Caenorhabditis elegans: one gene and its partners. The protein of the gene in region 3 purifies or fractionates together with the protein of the main gene of each other region. This does not show direct contact. Each region holds a gene or a part of one and is shown on either strand. Other genes may lie near its edges. The genes, in order: F21A3.3, rab-14, clec-170 and C50F4.12.

Region 1 (4,147 bases), on a different chromosome or scaffold from region 3:
GCGTCTCTCTATCACTCCATAGAAGTCTTAAACTGTGCTCTAACTCAAAATATTGAACATTTAAAGGCGCATAGAGTGTTGATTTCTATTTTTGGAAATTTATTCGTGCTAACTGTGAATTACAAGTTTCTGAGAATTCTTGATATTCGCTAAGTTTTTTTCAGTTTTTTATTTGTCATTTTCCAAAAGAAGCCATTTCAGAAAAAAAAAACTACCGTAAGCTTTTTCGCAGCGAGACCCATCCGAATAAATGCGTGCGCCTTTAAATCATGGCTACGATAGCCGAAAAGTTTCGCTCGTGCCAGGACCTAACATCTCTCAAAATTGGCTTTTTTAACGTATTTTTAAAAATTCTATTGTAGCAAGCTATACAGTTTGCTATACAGTTTACAATGGGTTCGATTTTTTTCTAGAAATAATTTTTTTTTCTTACACATAATAAAATCTTAGGCGATAATAGAGATAGGATAATAAAAAAAAGTGATTAGTACAATGAGATTTATGTGTTTTTATCTGCTGTTCGCGAGAGAAAAAAAGTGACGAGAAGCTAATTTAGATACTCGAACAGTGTAAAAGAGAAAGAAAAGTTCGCGAAACTTTGACCTTTCGTGCCAACTAAAATTCCGGTCCGCGCGCTCAAATGGCGCAGTGGTGAACACGGATGGCTCAGGCCCAGAAAGTCAATGGTTCGATTTCTGCAGAGGAGTTTTGACGATTTTCGATCATTATCTCTTCTCCGTTCCTACTTACGTTCCTCAATTTCCACCCATCATTTTTTACTATTCTCTCACTTATTTTCCCTTTCACTCTCACTTTTATTAAGTGTTCATTTTTTGTCTGTACTCATTAAATCACCTGTAGTACAACGAAAATTCGGGGATCCAAATATCGGAACTCGACAGGAAAATCTCTTCGGCTCCCTCGTAGCTCGACGGGTTCCACTTCAAGAATTCGTCTTCCCAGTACTGCAATGATCGTATATTAAAATAGATAGTAGCGCGCAGCCGACGTTTTGCGGGCCACGTCGGATAAGTTCTTGTGTCCTATGCAAACTTTTTCAGTTCCCTCGGTTCCAGTGAGATCTATTTTTGCAGTTTTCTACCGCCACAAACTGCTGTAACATTACATTTGGCCCCCAACCCGCCCCCTCTTAACTTCCTCGATGTGTTGGCCTTCCCTTATCAAGTACTTGTGTCAACTGGTCTTGAACGACCTTCAATATTCTCCTTCCTTTTCGCCAATTTCCATTTTTATTCCCAAATCATCGTTTTCGATGTACCTCATTTTTTGAGTAGCTTATTACGGTCATGCTAATTTGTTGAACCCCTCTGTGTGTGTTGAACCCCTCAACAGCCGAATTTCGGCGGGTCCTGTAGTGGTTATCACGTCTGCTTCATACACAGAAGGTCGCCGGTTCGAACCCGGCCAGGACCTACTTTTTTCGTTTGACATGCTTTTGAGGAAACAGGCGCGTCCTTCAAATGGAATTGTCCACTTGTATATGCGCGTGTGTTTATTCTCACTTTCGTGTGTATTTCTCATTACTATCGGCGTTTGGCATCGTGTCGTTTTGGCATTTGCGCATCTTTTTATTTATTATTGTATTCTCACTTTTCCCCCCTCCCCCCTTTCCCCTCCTTTTTGCTTTATGGATCTAATGACCCCTCAAACATTGCAGACCATGACCAGGATAAACCTAGTTTTATTTTTATCTTCTTTAGCCGTATGTACCTATTCACAGACCATGACAAAAACAAGTAAGTTTCGCATTCTGCGGCACATCAATTCGGAAATTTTCAGTAATCGATTTTTGCTCTCCGTCCGAACCGAATTCGTGTGGTCCCGGCGGAAAGTGCATGGAATTGTCACTAGGAAATCGGTGTGAATGCCCATTTGGACTTATGGGTAGAAGATGTCAAAGTAACCAGTTTTCGCGTCGAGACCCAAAAACCCAATTTTTTAGGACCATGCCAAGATGTCTACAAAAGTTGTGCTCGGTGGAAGTCAGAAGAACGCTGTCACTGGACGCGGCCGATTTCTCCATTTTTCGCTGACAACTGTGCTTTGTCCTGCGGCCAATGCAAAAATAACGGAAAGCGTGAGTTTTGTCATTCCTCACAAAATGTTGTCCACTGACAAAATGTAGGAAATTTTATGCTAAACACTTTATCAGTTGACAACTTTTTGATAGCTCTTTTGGACCCCAAGATATTCTTGTTTTTTCCAGAGCTGGCGCTCGCTCTTCCACCAATTCTCGACAACATTGAGTGGTTTGTGGGCAGATGGGAGTCAAAGACAAGTGCTCATCATAGGTAAATAAGAATAATTTTTGAATAGGTTGGCATATGTTCTATAAACTTTTAGATTTCCGGAGCCAATGTCCGGACCTTACAAGGAAATCTTGGACGTTCAAATTTCGGAAGTTCCCTCTTTTGACAGACCGCCGGTTAATATTTCGTAAGTCAGAAAAATTTTATGTCTATCGTGTGATGTTATTCGATATTTTACTTGTTTTGTTTGTTGTTCAAGGGTTTTGAGCTTTGAGGTTTTGGCATTTTTGATGGGATGTATGCAAATGCGCCCCGATGAATAACAACCTACAACTTGTAGAGTGCGAGCCGAGACGCTTGATGGGACCGATGTCCACGTGGAATTCGGATTTTTGACGTCTAAACCTTTCCACGAGGATACGGGTTTTGTGGAGTTGAACAAACCGGACGAAGGGGACGATTTGGTGTCGATTGAGCTTGTGACTAATACAGGTAACGGTTAATTTTACGCTGCGGAATTGTTCTCGCTAACCCACGGCATAGCGACCCAGGTCTCGGCAAGTGGTCTATGGTCTCAACTTTCTGTCAAGCTTTGTCACCTTTCTAGAACTATGTAACAAAGAGGGGGTATAATGAAACAGAAAGCTAGCGCTACCGCTGTCATTGATTCTAGGGTCGCGGATAAGATGACCAAGCCGATGGGCAATCTAGGTTCCTAAAGGAGCACACTAGGATGTCAGGAGTGTCATTTGCCGGCTAGTGTTATTAGCCGAGAATCCCAAAATTTTCGGCGACACGAGACGCAGACCATTTTCTTCACCACCCACTTGAGCTACAAATTTCTTCAGGTCTAATGCTCATCGAGGAAGGAACTGTGCGCGGTACCCAAATCCGATTGGAAACCAAATATAAGAAGGGAATGGCTGGAGTGTTCCGAGACGAAATTGTCAAGTCAAAGAGAATGTTCAATTTGATAAATGCCAACTCTTTGGAAGAACGGGTTGTGATGGTTGATGGCCGTGGAGTTACAACCAAATGGTTGAAAAGGTTTACCGTATGATCTTGAGAAAGCGCGGCAAATCTAATGACGTCATATTTTTGTAAAATTCTTTTGCCACGTTTTCTGCACATTAAAATACACTTGCTCGAGATCAACCTCAATTTTCCAGGTACAAAAAAGTGTTCAACTACATGACGGATCTTATCCCGACACCCGTTGAGAAAAAGCGAAAGTCCCTGTAAACTCACCAACTCAAAGCTGCCCGACAGACTGATGGTGTTCTTGACGGCGTCCTGAAATGATTTATTGAAACGGGTCTATTTTATTATTGATTTTTTGTTGTTGTAGAAATTCGAAATAAAAACTTACCAGCTTAACGATTTGATACAGGAATACGCTCATCGAAACTGAGATCACCTTTTTCGGATGGGTCACTGGACGTGTGCCTTTTCTGAAAGTTTTGCAGGTGTAAAAATTGATCAGGAAGACATTTTTGTTACGGGGCATGCGACACCGCACGGGTTGCGTAGGATTGCAGTGGAAGTTAAAAACCCGCGAGGTGTCGGCCACGAAGTTCAAAAGTCCCTTATCTAGGTCATCTTTTTTGCAGAAAAACCGTACTGTATATACATAATCAAATTTAGAACTTTGTGCCACACACTCCAGTGCATTCTCTCATTGAAAATCCATTTTCATTACCACTTTCTCCGGACCACGGAACAATTGAATTCGGTGGCGCGCAAGAAACTATTTGCTAAAAAGGAATTGAGAGGGGCTTAATTTAATTTTTCACCAGAAGCCGAACTCTCTTGTCGATGGTTTTTTTAGTGAAGGAGTTCTACTAGAGATAGGAATAGAGTCTATGAAGAGATTTTGA
Region 2 (4,281 bases), on a different chromosome or scaffold from region 3:
TTGCCGATTTGCCGTTTGCCGAATATCAGATTTCCCGGAAATTTTTAGAGGGACTTTTTATAGAACGGAAACTCTTAAAACCGTTTTTTTTTGAATTTTTTCCGTTTTGTCTACATATTTTCATAGAATTTGCTTACTTTTCGAAATAGATGTAGGAATATTCATAGGATGCGTAAAATTTTGTCATTTGAAATTGGAATTCTAAAATTTCCAAAAAAATAAGTGCGAAACCACAATTTGCAGAAATTTTTTGGCAAGTTTCTTTTTTTCCAGCAAATTTGGCGAATCGGCAATTTGCCGATTAGCCGATTTGCCGGAAATCTGCAATTCCTGCAATCTGCCGATTTGCCGATTTGCCGGAAACAATCGTTTGCTGCCCACCCGTGACTAGAATCCCATTTCAGCCACGGATTACTCTGTCATTAGAAAAATTTACGCACACTTGAAAACACATTTGACTATTACTGGTGATGTTAACTTTGAAGATTGAGCACTTCATGCTTCAATGAATAGTTTTTTTAAATATTATATGTACAATTGAATTTTGCTGAAAAATGATTAAACAAAAAAAATAAATTTTGAAAAAGTTTTCTGAAATCATAGGTTCATAAAACTAACAACAGAGAACTATTTATAAGGAAAAGTGACAAAAATGACAAAAATCGTTAGTTTTTTTGATTTTCAAAGCACAATTATAGCACTTAATGGGGTGGGATCATATAGATGTTTCTTATCACACAAGGAATGGGGGAAAAATGTTCAAAACGGTTTTTGACAGAAAAAATCTACTAAATATGCAGTTGGTTGGGTGAGCGAAAGTGTTATATTATGAACGGTTCACAGTTCGATGATGATAGTGAGTAATGGGTGGGGGACTGAAAAAGACTGGGAATTGGTAAGTAAAAGTGACACAAAGTTCTGAATTTCAGAGTAGTTTTATAGTGATTACAAGTTTAGATTTTGACAGGCAACTAGAATTTGGAAACAAGAAACCATACCACCCAATGTTGATTCTTCTGGCATTTTAATGATAATGGGTGACAAGCTCTCACATACAGATAGACGGATTAGAAAGTAATAATTTAAAAAAATACATTAAAATCAATTGGGAATGATTTGAGGGGAAGAAGGGACTTTGCACACATCAACTAGCAGTTGCAGTCCTTCTTCCCATTATTTTCAGCTGCACGTGGCAAGTTCTGTTTTGGCTGGACGCCAGTGTCGGCGGCGTTCAAGTCCAAACTTCCGTCTTGGATATTCTGATAGATTTGCTTGGCCGTTTCGAGGAAAGCGTCTTCGACGTTACTGCCACTGAAAAAAAAGCCATTTGAAATTGATGAATTTGCAGTGGGGGGGTGGGGGGAAGAAACTTACGTCTTCGCACTGCACTCCAAGAAAGTGAGCCCGTTTTCTTCGGCGAAAGCTTTTGCTTCCTCGTATGGCACGTCACGTTGATCTTCGAGGTCGGCTTTGTTTCCGATAAGAAAGATGGCCTGAAAAAGGAACTTGTGAGAATTGGTGCTTGAATCTCATTTTTATTGTAAAATTAAATCAGTGCAAAGTGGACGAAATACTGTTTTCTTACTAATACAGGTAGATTTTTAACTCTCCAAATAAAACTAGATAACCCAATTTTAACTCGTTTTTTTTAGATATTAGTTTAACGATAAAACACACAATTTAGAGCACATACAGATTGAATGTTTTCCAGCTTAAATCTGATTCATGAGAATTTTGATTGAAATTCAGTTTATAGTCTACGATCTTTTGAGCTGCAAATAAATGTTATGCTTGCAAAAATTCATAAATTGCAATTTACTAAACATGGCGTACATCTATGTAGTTTTGAAATTTTGCTGAAAGTTCAAATTCGCTTTAATTTTGGAACTTGGGAATGCTTTTATAAAGTATAAATTCGAGTTTTTATATATTTTTCAACCCTACTTTTGAGTAAAAATTATAAACCAAGTATATATTTTACCTACCGTATTTGGATTGGTCAAGCTTTTTGCGTCGGCCAACCAGCTGCTCAAATGATTGTAGGTAGAACGGCGAGTGATGTCGTAGACCATCAAGGCTCCGGCTGCTCCACGATAATATGATCGCGTCACAGCGCGGAATCGCTCCTGGCCCGCCGTGTCCCAGATTTGAAGCTTGATCTTCTGTCCGCTGACCTCAATAATCCTGGTGCCGAATTCCACGCCGATTGTGTGCGGGCAGTCGGCCATGACTGAAAGTTAGTTATAGTTAGTTTTTGCGTTTGTTGCCCGCAGTGATTGTACGGTGGTTATTGACCGGAGGAACAGGTCTCTTGTTGATGACTAATGTTGACACAAACAACATGATATATCGATTTTCCAGGAATGCGGGACTTACACTTCTTTTCTGTGAACTGATGAAGAAGACACGATTTTCCGACACCCATATCACCAATAATAATATATTTGAAAATATACGAATAATTGTAAGGAGCAGCCGTCATTTTTATGTGTTTTTGTTACCTGAAAGTTGCGGATTATATTTTGGTTATTCGTTTCAGAAAAAAGGATACAAAAAAGTAGCAATGAGAATAGATAGACCACACAAAAGAAAGTGGCTATTAGAGACTGACTGCCAAGTTGTCATTAGTTGGAAGTAGGGGAAAACCGACGGGGAGAGAGAGACAAATGTGGAAGTAGTTGGGATAGAGAAAGATGAACGCCACGTCCAAAAGCAATAGAGAATCCATTGGCCTCCAGAAAGCTAAAAGAGGCAATGTCGGAGAGAGAGAGAGGAGCAGTTGTACGAGGAGTGCTACGCAATGGAATATCACGAGGAAAGAGACACTGGACAAAAACGGGGGCCCCTCCATTCCTCTATCTCTGTCTTCTCTGAGAAACGACGCGTCGCGTACTATCGACCGCGACGCTTGCAACGGAACTGGTCTCTACTGCGTGTCTCTAACGTCTCGCTCTCGGTGTGCGCTGTACTGTGCTGTCTGACTCTCGCCTTATGTGCCGCGTAGGAGACGGATTGGAGATGAAGAAAAAAACACGTAGAGAGACAAAAAGAGAGAAGAGTGAAATGACGAGTGAATGCGCACGTGTGTGTGGGCTCTAGCTTTTCTCCTTATTCATCTGTCATTGGTGTTGAGCCAGCTATCTTTTTCCTTGTTCCAAAGAGATCATGCTTTTTCTTTTTCATATACGTAGATGCCTAAGACATGGAAAAAACAATTATTTCCTCCTGCTTCTTGTTTTGCTCTTCAAATTCATCTTCAGAACAGAGTAAAATACTATAATATTAAATATGCTTAATAGCCTAATCAAATTGCAAATTATGACTTCAATTTCCAACCATGGCTCCCCTAATCGGTTACAACTCGTTTGTGAACAGTCTTACAGTTCTCGAGACATTTGATTTTATCACTATTCGACCATCTACCCACTCATTCTCTATCTCTCGTTTCGGTCCCCGTAGTTTCCTTCTCTGACACTTGTGTTGATCGTAGTGCCGCGATGATATTTCGCAATACCTGCTGATGCACGAGCTTCTCTCATCGCCACGCGCTCTCTTCCGATTCCTCTCGTCGTTTCTGTGATATGTGAAGAAGGGCGGTCCTCCCTCTAGTCATCTACAATGTAGTATTGCGAAATATTAAAAAAAAAAAAAACGGAAAATTCATTGTGAAACCCTCGCAGCCAGTAATGTTTCGCAATAACACCCCTTCATTCTTACCAATTCTAGGGTTATCATTCTTTGCATTTTCTTGTCTGTAGTCTACCAACTTTATCTCATTTGCTTCTTCTCCTTTTGTAACAATGTTCCCTAAACATTATTTTTTTTGTTTTTCAGGGTATGGCTCGTACAAAATGCAAAACCAAAACCGTAGCCAATCCTAGAACTGGAGTCAGAAAAACCGCAAAAGATCTTTCTGAACCAGTTCGTCAGGATGCCGTTTCAAGAAGGAGGCCCACAACTCTTCCTTTTGTTGGAAATACCTCAAGTCGTCCAAGGGTGTTTTACGATGTTCTAGCCAAGAAGAATGTCGTCTTCCCAAATGTCAAAGCAGAGTACCACTATAGAGTTCGCAATGCTCCGAAGATTGATCCAAAGAATTTTGGCACGACGCTTCCAATCTGCTATTCTTCAATCGGACCTGCAAAAACACTTGAACTTCGTCCACTGGGTCGTCTACCCCCGCACATCATCAAAGCGTTGAATGATCACTACGTGCAACTGACACGTGGATCTATGGTTCCGGCTGCGGATCTATATAACAATGGAGATCATCCAGCAGAA
Region 3 (7,782 bases):
TAGCACAGAAACTAGATGGATTGGTTCATGATACTCAGTCTGAAAACCTATATTGGCCACTATCTCGAAAACCGTCACAAAATCGATTTTGCGATGCATACAGTGTGGGAAAGTTCTATAGGACCCCCCCTAATTTGAAGGTTTGAGGAACTTCCGAAAATTTTTTCGAAAAACTGCTAATGCCGTTCGTTTTTAAATTGAAAAAAACCTATATAAATTTTTTTCCAGAAGTTTATCTCAAAAACTGAGGTCGCGCTGGAAAAAACGTCAAAATCCAGTGTGAAACTTCTATAGGACCCCCCGTTTTTTTTCACGATTTTTACTAAAATCAACAGATTTTGGAATTTTTGACAAAGCTCAAATCAAGTTTGAGTTAGAAATGAGTTCATATAAGCAGCTTTGACTTTAAAAAATTAATACGAAATGTTCTCGTGGGATCTCCAGACTGGTTCTGATTCTTCCGATCTTTGATGTTCAAGTCTGTTTCAAGCTTCCTGGTGCTCTCGGTAATGCCAAAACTTGATAAACTCTCTTTAACAAGTTCCTACTAAAATTCCTAGCACGCACTTTAGATGTTTCGACTGTGTAGTCAAGCTGATTTGGCAAAATATGCAGCAGGAAACAATGGAAGGCTTATCAGGAATCAAATCGTTTTTCTTTGATTACAAGGTTCCATGGGACCAATATTTCAAGTTAAATTGTCCCTCACAGATGTTATTTACTATTTTTTGCGTGAATTATTAAATGTGGAATTGTGGCATGTGTTGTGGCACACATATAGAGGCTGGAAAGCTTACTTCGAAAGCAGTCTAACTTGCAATGCCTCGAGGATCTGCCCTTTCGGACACTGAACGCGCTCAGCTGGATGTTATGAAATTGCTCAATGTGTCCCTGCATGAAATGAGTAGGAAAATTTCCCGTTCTCGACACTGTATTCGCGAGTATCTGAAGGATCCGGTGAGCTACGGTACATCTAAAAGAGCTCCTCGTCGCAAAGCTCTCTCCGTGCGTGACGAACGAAATGTGATTCGTGCTGCCTCCAACTCCTGTAAGACGGCAAGAGATATTCGCAATGAGCTTCAATTGTCTGCTTCAAAAAGGACCATCCTCAATGTCATCAAACGATCTGGTGTAATCGTTCGTCAGAAACTTCGCCCTGCTCCGTTACTCTCTGCAGACCATAAACTCAAGCGATTGGAATTTGCTAAGAACAATATGGGAACGAATTGGAGTAAAGTGAGAATTTAAAAAAGCAAGAGTGAATAATTAGGATCATTGTTTTAGGTTGTCTTCTCCGATGAAAAGAAATTCAATCTCGATGGGCCTGACGGTTGCCGCTACTATTGGCGCGATTTGCGCAAGGAACCAATGGTTTTTTCGAGACGTAATTTTGGAGGAGGAACGGTGATGGTTTGGGGAGCGTTCACGGAGAAGAAGAAGCTTGAGATACAGTTCGTCAGTAGCAAGATGAACAGCACTGACTATCAGAACGTCTTGGAACTGGAGCTCTCCAAATATCTTCGTCACTACTCCAGAAAAGACTTTAGATTTCAGCAGGATAATGCGACAATCCATGTGAGCAACTCAACCCGCGACTATTTCAAGCTCAAGAAGATCAACCTTCTTGATTGGCCAGCTCGAAGTCCTGATCTCAATCCAATCGAAAATTTGTGGGGGATTCTTGTCCGTATCGTGTATGCTCAGAACAAGACTTACCCAACAGTTGCATCGTTGAAGCAAGGAATTCTCGACGCTTGGAAGTCTATTCCGGACAACCAGCTGAAAAGTTTGGTCAGATCAATGGAGGACAGACTGTTTGAGATCATCCGCACACAAGGAAACCCGATTAACTATTGATCCTTTCTTGATTTTAGTATATGAATGTTCTGTTGTTGATCAAAAATAACTGCAACTTGTTAATACGCTGTTTCTGACTGGTTTCTTGGGGATGGCGTAAAAATGTTTATGGTGTGTGTGCTAGGAATTTTAGTAGGAACTTGTTAAAGAGAGTTTATCAAGTTTTGGCATTACCGAGAGCACCAGGAAGCTTGAAACAGACTTGAACATCAAAGATCGGAAGAATCAGAACCAGTCTGGAGATCCCACGAGAACATTTCGTATTAATTTTTTAAAGTCAAAACTGCTTATCTGAACTCATTTCTAACTCAAACTTGATTTGAGCTTTGTCAAAAATTCCAAAATCTGTTGATTTTAGTAAAAATCGTGAAAAAAAACGGGGGGTCCTATAGAAGTTTCACACTGGATTTTGACGTTTTTTCCAGCGCGACCTCAGTTTTTGAGATAAACTTCTGGAAAAAAATGTATATAGGTTTTTTTCAATTTAAAAACGAATGGCATTAGCAGTTTTTCAAAAAAATTTTCGGAAGTTCCTCAAACCTTCAAATTAGGGGGGGTCCTATAGAACTTTCCCACACTGTATAAGAAATGACCGCGATGAAATTATCTATATTTATTGTTGATGAATTTTCGATTTTGTACTTCCCGACCAAGTTATGCACGTTTGTTCGGTGGAGCGCGTTCGCACCCATCTAGCAACTGAAGCACCGTGATTGAACACGGTGGTTCACATGGTGGTACAGAAACTAGATGAGTGCAAACGTGCTCTACCGAACAAACCCTAATTTGACCGGTTAGGAAAGTTTCAATCAAAAAATTTCTCAATAGAAAAGATAGAGAATTTTCTTGCGGTCATTTTTCATATGCATCGCAAAATAAAATTTGGGGTTAGTTTTCGAGATAGTAGCCAATATAGGTTTTCAGACTGAGTATCATGAACCAAGCCATCTAGTTTCTGTGCTACCGTGTTCAGTTGCTAGATGGGTCCAAACGCGCTCCACCGAACATAGGGCAGTCATGAGGGTCGTACCCTTTTGGGAGACGCTCCTTTTTTGGGGGGGGGGGGGGGGGCGACGCGTTCCCGTCCCCATACTGGGGGACGAGGGATGTTCCTTGTCCCCAATATCAGGACGTCCCCTTTTACTTTGGGTCAAAATTTGATCTTTTTCATTATCACCCAAACTAAAAACACATCTTTACGTGATATTAGGACCAATTTCCACGGTCTGGTATGTGACGTAAATTTTTAAAACAAGATCCGTTCTGTTCAAATTTGATTTCTATGCACCGGGGACGTCCTTTTTTTCGACCCGCGACCCGTCGTGGTCGGGTCGACGGTTCGCATGTCGGACCCAAATGGGACGCGGCAAAAAAATGTGAAGAAATAAAATTTATTTTTTGTAATACAGTGCATTTTTTTTCCACTTCTACAACTTTAAAGGGGGCGCATTTACGCGGAATGGTCTCGCCACGCGTTATCCATTGATTTTTGAAGCGCGTGGCGAGACCAATGGCGGGACCATTCCGCGTAAATGTGCCCCCTTTAAAGTTGTACAAGTGGAAAAAAAAATGCACTGTAATATAATTGCGATCATGTTTCCAAACTATGCAATGGGTTCCGGGTCGACCCTTTTCGATCCATCGACACCTCTAATATTGCTCGCGTAAATACGGTTATAAGGTACGTAAAATGTAAAAATGTGTATCGTCACTCACGTTATGAAAGTCTCTGCCTTTTCCAATATTATACAGTCCATTCGTTTTGGAAGTTAGACTATGAATCGCTTTTGATTGAGTTCCGCCTGATGGATCAGCGGAACAAAGTGCATGAACTATTCCATGATGTTGTCTCACAAGTGATACTGTTTTTGAAATATCCCAATCGTTTGGATAACGTTTCAAAAGAATTAAGACAATTGATCCGCAAATAGGAATTTTGTTACTGTTGTAGAATTTCTTTAAAGTAGTAAAATGAATGTTTTGGATGAAATTTCCTGTAATCCGACAAAAAATACATACCTCAACCATTTGAAGTGCGTCACTCCCTGCCTTTTTGTCTCTAAATCCCAATTTGGAATCAGGAAGATGGGAGTACACATATGACTGGGCGTCTCTAAATTTTGATTTCAAGAATGAACAGTTTTGATAAAAATAAATACCCAAAATCCGTGAAATAAACAATGCTTTCTTCTACACGCACATCAAATCTTGCAATTGCATATCCGGAGCATGGGGTAACTTTAAAAGGATATCCGTCCCACGCTTTTTTCACAGTTTGCGCACCGTAATCATTTGAAAATGCAAAAAGTATTGTCCCATTTTCAGTTGGCTTGCAAGAATTTTCTTCTGAACAGATAGGCTTTGAAATTTCAATTTAGGGAGCTGACAAATTAGGGGTACTAATTTTGCCTAAAAAGTTGTCGACTGTGACTGGCTATTTAGAAGCAGAGGCGGGCGTATTTCCAAATTTTCGGATATTTGCTACTATATCGGATGATTGGAATAAAGTTGGAAAACATCTATAGTGATCACTTCTCTACATCTAAGGTTGTCCGCGCATGTCTGTAGAAATTTTTGCTCGTTGGTTCAATTCTATCAACTGACAATCCTTTTTTACTCAGAATATGAATAAATTTTGTGCAAAACCAGTTGTCTCGGTTTACGTCTACAATAACTCTCGTGTACAACTACCGTACCCCGATCTTTCAAGACGACTCGCAAAAACCCCCTAAAACAAGCGGAGAGCCAGCTAGTCAGTAATTTAAAAAAAACTTTTCGAGCAGTTCAAATTTTTGATTACATGAGAAAAACAACAAAGCTATCAAAAATTGAGCAAAATTTTTTAATTCAAACTTAATCACAACGGAATACTTTTTTTACGGATGTGCTTTTAATTAGAAAAAAAAGATATATAAATAGTTTGCACTTAAAAACTTTACCTTTAGTCAGACTTTGTCTAAACTTGGATGAAAAAAAAAAAAAAAAACTTTTTTTTGGCAAAATTTGTGCAAAAAGCTGCTGAGAGCTAAAGTTGGTGCGAGAAGCTGCAGGTAAATGCCGATAGTATAATCAAAGTTTCAGAAAAATAAATTTATTTCTTATCCTTGTTTATATTTTTACTTTATTGAAGATTGAGCGCTCATAATTTAAATCAAGAGTGCTGGTTTTTATTGGTTTTGAAGTTCATAAATCCAAAAATTTTTGTTTTTGACAAACCTGTTATTGGTTCTTGAGTCGAAGTAATAACTGGAGGTGAAAAAGTTGGTGGAGCAATTGGATTATAACTTTTTACGTTTACTAACCTGTAACTGGCATTCTCTGAGTTGTAGAAATAACTGGAGTAATTTTTTGAGTCGTAGAAACTAATGGAGGTGCGAAAGTTATAGGAATTTGTTGAGTTGTTGAAATGCTCGGAGGTGAAAAAGTTGGTGGAGCAACAGGACTATAACTGCACACAAACAAGTTCTTGTCGTTCTCTCCAAATGCATTCCATTTTGTGTTCACCACGCTTTGAGCCAAATAATTTTGACCGAGTTGAGTGCCGAAGTTTGTGTAAGTCACTGGACTTCCATTATCCCAAGCGAATGGACTTGAAGAACTGTTTCGACTCAGTCCAATCCAAAAACTTCCGCTGTTTGTTTCAAATGCCGTTCGAGCGTCAGCTAAAAATTATAAAGTGTTCACATGTAACTTTCTCAGATGTGTTTTGTTTCTAATAATATTCTGTTGAAAGCCTTTAGAAAGGACACAAAAAAGTTCTTCAGAGTTTGAAAAAGTTTCACCACTTTATAGCGGTTCAATCCCAAAGTCTCTATTACATTCACCACATCAACAGTTGTCCTAATACTAGTATGGTTTTTTTGTAATCTTTTTTTGAAGGCTAGAAATACGAATGAGGCTCTTTTTATCATTTGACAGTGCAATTTCGATAAGATTAACAACTCACAGGCCAAAAAACTGCTGGTGTACTGATCAGGAACATATGCCAAATAAGAAGAAGTGACTGGATTTTGGTAATGACACCAATTACGAGCATCATTAAATGTCAACTGTTGGGACACGAACGTGAAACATAACCCTTTGATTTCCTTATCTCGACTGTCAAGACACGCACTGTGTGCAAATGAAGCAAGAACAAGGGGAAGAAATAGTTGAAGTATCATTTGAAGTCAACTGAGAAAACATTTGATAAGAAATGGTTTTTTATGTATTAGGCCTTTTGATAAGTTTTTCTGTTTTTTTTTTCTTAGATATGTGGTTATATTGAAGACTTTTAGTAGTGATACGCCTAACAATATCACCTATATCGGATTACTTTCTGATATTTTAAATCTGATAGACAGTACTGTGATGACGAAAAAAAAAGTTTTCGATAAAAAAAAAACTTTTTGGCGAAATTAAAAAGTTGTCCTCACAGTTCTGAGCTTTATCATGGTCCGATATGACTTAAAATTAGGTATTTTGTTATGCTTACCATTTCTAACAGTCTTCTATATAACCAAAAAAATATCTAAGAAAAAATTAAACTTGGGGAAAAAAAACGACAAAACTTATTGAAGTGCCTAATAGTTGAATCGGCCTGGTTTATCAGTCAAATGAGAAAATTTCAACATTCACACGCTATGTACCGAATTTTGGCGACTCTGTACAATTGGCAAGATAAAATTCGTTTACACTGATAAAGTTCAAACCGTTTTTAATTCCCGATTCCTTTCGCTGCATTCATTACTTCAATTCTTCCCATAACTGAACTGATAAGGAAAAAACTGACTTTAATACTTTTTCTTGTGACTATTTGCCATAATTTTTGGGTTGTTGGTAATTGTAAAACAATTTTTTAAAAGTTTCTGATCTAATGTTTACTTCTATGATAAACGTCTGACTTTCGTATTGCATGTTCATGTATTATTTTCCGGGTCAATTTATCTTTTCTGAGTATTTTATAAATTAAAAAAAAAACAATTGAACAATGTTTCCAGGCACCAAAACTAGTAACATTTTGGAGATATATAAAACATGTCGAGAGAATATAACTTATCGGAATTTGTTCAAATCAGAGTTTTTTTGCTGAAATTCGCTATTTTTCTAAGTTTATTTTAGTTAATACAATGCATAAAATAATGTCGAGCGAAAATAATTTTTATTGGAATTTGTTTAAATCAGAGTCCAATCAGCCGAGTTTGAAATGCCTTAGCCACAGTATGGAAGCCAATATGGAAGAGGACTGAAATAACAAAAAATTGTTCAATCGATTTTTTAATTTGTCTTTTTATCCGCAAAATACATTGAAAATGATAAAAATGATTGTGACTTCCGTGTATACGCAGTTTTTAAAAAATGTTTAAAGGTGTAGTAGCCTCAATTTGGATTTGTCCTAAAACTTTTAAAATTGCAATTTAATTTCGTTACAATCTGATCAGAAAAAACTGATTTTTTCAAGCACTACCTTTTACAGTACACTCTGACTCGAGTGGCTTCTTCAGCTCCATTCGTGTAATTATACTGTAGTTTCATACTGTAAGTCACCGGGCTAAAAGTAAACCAATTACCGGCAAGGATTCCATTAAAATCCTAAATTTTGTGATATTAATGAAATACGTCATTTTAATTACCGCCGGGTAAGCTTTCAAGTCACCGCCGCTGTAGTTGTCGTTGGTTATGGAAAGATTGAGTGACCGAAAGGAATCTATGGGAACTGAAAGATTAAATAATGTTTTAAAAGTAAAAGAACAAGAACCTACGGTGATCTTGAATTGTTAAAGTCACCCAACAATATCTAGAGAACGGAACGTTCATTGATGGCAACTCCATCATGTTTTGACTAGAGAGAATCGGGTTAGCACAGTAAATTGGATAAGGAGGATCATAAATAGGAATATGACCCATTAACTGAAAAACTGAATGGCTGTGACCTGTGAGCAATGA
Region 4 (4,307 bases), on a different chromosome or scaffold from region 3:
AAATTCGCCGGAGAATCACGGTAAAGAATTTGATAAAATTGACTGGAGCAGCTATGATTCTGAAACTGGCTACACCATTGAACTTTGTGCTGGACTAATTGACAAGGAAGGATTATCTCCTAGAGAAATTGCATCAGAAGAAGTTGCTGAAGAATGTGGATATCGTGTGGATCCTGATGATCTAATTCATGTAATAACATTTGTTGTGGGTGCTCATCAATCTGGAAGTGCTCAACATTTATATTACGCGGAAATCGACGAATCCATGAAAATCAGCGAAGGAGGTGGAAATGTTCATGAGGGAGAAGTAATTACTAAAGTTTATTACCCTGTCAACGTTGCACGTGAAATTGCACGCCCTGCTATTGGAACACATGCAGAAGTGAAAGGACCTCCAGGCGTTCTTTTTGCTTTTCAATGGTGGTTTTTGGTTTTGGATCCAAAAAAGGTGAATAAAAGCATATTTTTATTTAACTTTTGAAGACTGGAAAAACCCTTCTTAAAAAACGTGTGTTTACGACAATCATTTAAAATTTTTACAGAAAGGGCTCATCGCAACTCCACCAACTGGATATCAATGGCAGCCGCACAATGTAAAAACCATTTCGAACGTAAAATTCAACACTGATTTTGACAAAAAGAAGTATGGTTATAATCCAAAGAGAATGATTTTCACAATTGTGAGTTGAAGTAAAGTTCTTAAATTATATGTATAAATGAGAATCTCTTGTAGAATGGAATAACCCGCAACTGGGATTTAGCCTTATGTCCAAACACAGCTACATGTATTCTTGTAGATATGGTGAAGAAAGAATTGATTTTCTTGCAGAAACTCCGTGCACGTAAGTAATTTTTAAATCGAACTTTAATGAAATGTAAGTTTACAGCGGTGTTTGTTGGAAAAAATCGTTTTTTGAAAGAAAACATTGGAAAGCCTCTGGATGAGATTGATTTCTCGAATTCCGATCCTAAAATTGCATACACTGTAAGTCTAGAATGCTGTATTTCCCACAATATTATATGTAATTTTCCAGCTTGAACTCGTTGTTAACCGTGTTCCGGATTTCGACGATCCTCGAAAATTCGCTCGAATCTCAGTGAAGCAACTTGGCTACGATCTTCCAGAAGATTCGTTTAAACTCCAAGCAAAGTGTATTCCGGGAATCGGTCAATCTGGAGACACCCAATCTATTTTTGCCGTGGATGTTAGTAAAGCACGACTTTGTGAGAAGGAAGAAGATGAAGACATTGAAGAACTTCGTGTTTCTTTTGCGGATTTGCCGTCTCTGTACCGACAACACAATATAGGACCACCAACTACTTACTATGCCATTGGATTTGCTCTTGATCAGCTTCTCGAGAGAGACACGCTGTAAATCGAATACATTCCTGCTTTTCTATATTTAAAAACATTTCCCATCGAATTGTACATAGACCTATCTAGACCGGTGTCTTATACGCATCCTGTTTAATGAATAATAAATTATTTTATCATGCAGAATGTGAGATTTCTAGAGACTTCGTGTGTAGAAACCACTATCTACCTTTTTTGAGTGTCAGAGATATCCTTGGACAGGACATTTTAAACATTTTTAAATGCAGACAATGACAGTACCAGCATCGATTGTTCGTTTTATGGGTACTACAGCAATTATTGGATTTCGGCAACAAACGAGAGGCATGACTATGGTAATATCTAATGTAACGTATTTTTATTCTAATTTCTAATTTAAGATTACACCAAAGAAGCCTCCAGATCTTTCCTTCAAACCTGCAACGCAAGTAAAAACTGTTTCGGAGAAGAGTCTTCAAAGTTCTCTCACTGATGAAGAAAGTCAAACTAATTTAGAGATAATTCAAAATTTTGATGACAAATGTCAAATTGAGAACACACGAGAAGTAGCAACAATTTCATCGGCTATTATTGCAGAGGCGCGAAGATTAAAATCTGAAACTGGTAGGGTTTCATAATTTTGATTATATTTCCAGATACTCTGAAAAATTCGTTCAAAAAATGCCGAAACACCATTATTAGTTGAATTATTTTATTTTATCGGAGCACCAGTTGGTCTAAAAGATTTGAAAATTTAACTATATAAAAAAATTTCAGGAAAAGCAACATACCGGAAAATTGAATACACAGAAGGAGAGCTTGATCATACTGACCTCACTGAACCAGCGTCTCCATCGAATCCTCACCCATTTGATCCCTCAGAACTTCCTCCAGTTCATTCGCATTCCATTGTTCCATTTGTAAATCACTCGCCGCTTCTTCGATTTTTAGTTGATATTGGTGTAGACCTTGCTGAAATTGAAAACACGACAACTGTTGGAAAGCATCTACTACGGTTGCAAATAGAAGACGTTCGACAGAAAATTGAATTGATGCAAAACGAAATAGGGTTTGAAAATGAAGCGATTGGTCCATATTTAACAAGAAATCCGTTCTTTTTAATTCAAGATGTGAATGATATGCAAACAAGGCTCAATTATTTAGAGCTTAAGAAATTCACAAAGTCTGAAAGACTAAAGATCGTTGATGAATATAGATATTGGTTGAATTGCAATGTTCAGTTGATTGATTCACGATTGGGATGGTTACAGCAACAGTTCAAGTTATCAGCAAAAGCGACTAGAGAAATTATCGTCAAGGAACCTCGAATTATAATGTTTGGAACTGGACCAATTGAACGACTTGTTAAGATGTTTAACAAAGAACTCAACTTCACTACAAATCAACTAAAAATGTTAGTCATGGAGGATCCAAGAATTTTTATGATGGGTGAGATTTCATTTTTTTATAATAAGTGACTAATTAGTATAAAATTGAAAACTTTCAGATTCTAAATTGGTATCGAAGACCTACAAATACGTTCGCGACGTCATGAAAATCAACAATGAAACTATTCTGGAGCATCCATTCATTCTTCGATGCTCATTAAGCGTCATAAAGTCAAGACATGACTTCCTTAAACGCCTCGGACGAGCAAATTATCAGTTGGCCGAAAAAAAAGAATCGAAAATTGATATTTCTGAAGTTACCGATCCAGAAGGATCTTCAAAAGAAAGCTGTGATCTTGTTAGCCTTGAACATTTTTTACATCCTTCTGATGCTGGTTTTGCGATGCTTGCGGCTAAAACATATCCAGTAGCATTTGATAAATTCCTGAGAAATTCATAGTTTAGTTATCCTGTTTTTGTTGTTGTTTTTTTTCTGTTATTTAGAGCCCTCCCATGGAACTTCATATTAGCGGGTTGTTGATTTAATTTCATTACTTTCATATTTACACATTTATATTATTTAAAATACACATTAGGATTTCAAGCAGGGGTGTGCGGCAAATTTGCCGAATTTGCCGTTTGCCGAGCTCGGCAAATTTCAAAAAAGTAGATTTGTCGAATTTGCCGAGCTCGGCAAATTTCGAAATTTGCCGCACACGTCAAAAATTTTACAGTACAATTTTGATTGATTTTTCGCCAAAAATTTAGTAAAATGACACAAAATTGAGTTAGTTTTATGCTTAAGCAGACATACTACACGGGACTAATTCAGAAACCAGATGTGTGTTAAGAATTCGGTAGTTTTGGTGTTCCAAAAAACATCAAAAATTATCAAAATTTTCCGAGTTTGTTAAGCACGGCAAATTTGCCGAATTTGCCGTGCTTGGCAAATATTGAAAAAAGAGATTGCCGAATTTGCCGAGCTCGGCAATTTTTGAGATTTGCCGCACACCCCTGATTTCAAGCATATATAGTTCAAAATAAAATAATCATTTATCGTTTCTTATCTTTCAAGTAATCCATCTAATGATGATTGCACTTTATTTACAGTCCAGTACAATTTTTCTAGGTCTTTGGCACATAGTTGTACTTGTTTCACTCCTTGATCAGTCGAAAAGGTCAGGACAGCTTCACGATCGGATGATGGAATATTGTTTCGACGTACAACTGTTCGTGAAGTCCAGTCTGTTGACAGAACACGTGGAATTCCGGAATGAGAGCATGAAGCAAGTGATTCGAATAATTGGGAAAAGGTTTCAGAAGTATAGGCTTCCAGAATTCCTTTGACAACAGCATCAGGATAACCGTTCTGAATATTAATTTTCTTGAATTGTTAATTAGAAATTCATTATACCTCTTGTAATGTATCAATAAAAACTTCAGATTTCGGCTGGAAGTAAATGGCATACTTCCAAACATTCAAGAGTTGATGACACTGGAAAATTTGAATTAATTGTATTAAAAATGAACATGCTGCAATTACCAATTTGAAAAGGGCTTCTGAATCACCTCCAGCCATCTCTTCT

The links.
Region 1: the proteins of clec-170 (region 3) and F21A3.3 fractionate together in Caenorhabditis elegans (co-fractionation; one large-scale study listed by BioGRID). This does not show direct contact.
Region 2: the proteins of clec-170 (region 3) and rab-14 fractionate together in Caenorhabditis elegans (co-fractionation; one large-scale study listed by BioGRID). This does not show direct contact.
Region 4: the proteins of clec-170 (region 3) and C50F4.12 fractionate together in Caenorhabditis elegans (co-fractionation; one large-scale study listed by BioGRID). This does not show direct contact.

The regions. Positions count from the first base shown.
Region 1 is NC_003283.11:15,516,035-15,520,181, forward strand, and holds F21A3.3 (EGF-like domain-containing protein), read left to right. Parts: upstream 1-1,678; 5' UTR 1,679-1,681; coding exon 1,682-1,757; intron 1,758-1,800; coding exon 1,801-1,920; intron 1,921-1,963; coding exon 1,964-2,098; intron 2,099-2,227; coding exon 2,228-2,312; intron 2,313-2,364; coding exon 2,365-2,457; intron 2,458-2,610; coding exon 2,611-2,762; intron 2,763-3,118; coding exon 3,119-3,317; intron 3,318-3,439; coding exon 3,440-3,512; 3' UTR 3,513-3,518; coding exon of another isoform or gene 3,519-3,563; 3' UTR 3,564-3,639; downstream 3,640-4,147. Other genes in the region: lgc-31 (Neur_chan_memb domain-containing protein), read right to left, coding at 856-965, 3,519-3,563, 3,640-3,721.
Region 2 is NC_003284.9:15,604,135-15,608,415, forward strand, and holds rab-14 (Ras-related protein Rab-14), read right to left. Parts: upstream 2,502-4,281; 5' UTR 2,483-2,501; coding exon 2,377-2,482; intron 2,231-2,376; coding exon 1,986-2,230; intron 1,494-1,985; coding exon 1,375-1,493; intron 1,312-1,374; coding exon 1,149-1,311; 3' UTR 501-1,148; downstream 1-500. Other genes in the region: Protein nipi-3, read left to right, coding at 3,838-4,281.
Region 3 is NC_003282.8:1,265,114-1,272,895, reverse strand, and holds the start of clec-170 (C-type lectin domain-containing protein), read right to left. Parts: upstream 6,031-7,782; 5' UTR 6,021-6,030; coding exon 5,804-6,020; intron 5,520-5,803; coding exon 5,160-5,519; intron 4,204-5,159; coding exon 4,017-4,203; intron 3,971-4,016; coding exon 3,877-3,970; intron 3,814-3,876; coding exon 3,574-3,813; intron 1-3,573. Other genes in the region: F38A1.13 (DUF7154 domain-containing protein), read right to left, coding at 7,048-7,081, 7,304-7,428, 7,470-7,552, 7,599-7,668.
Region 4 is NC_003283.11:9,537,034-9,541,340, reverse strand, and holds C50F4.12 (Transcription termination factor 3, mitochondrial), read left to right. Parts: upstream 1-1,602; 5' UTR 1,603-1,605; coding exon 1,606-1,689; intron 1,690-1,734; coding exon 1,735-1,957; intron 1,958-2,110; coding exon 2,111-2,782; intron 2,783-2,840; coding exon 2,841-3,181; 3' UTR 3,182-3,766; downstream 3,767-4,307. Other genes in the region: C50F4.16 (Uridine diphosphate glucose pyrophosphatase NUDT14), read left to right, coding at 1-448, 543-680, 734-842, 888-985, 1,035-1,376; C50F4.4 (COMM domain-containing protein), read right to left, coding at 3,785-4,090, 4,136-4,216, 4,265-4,307.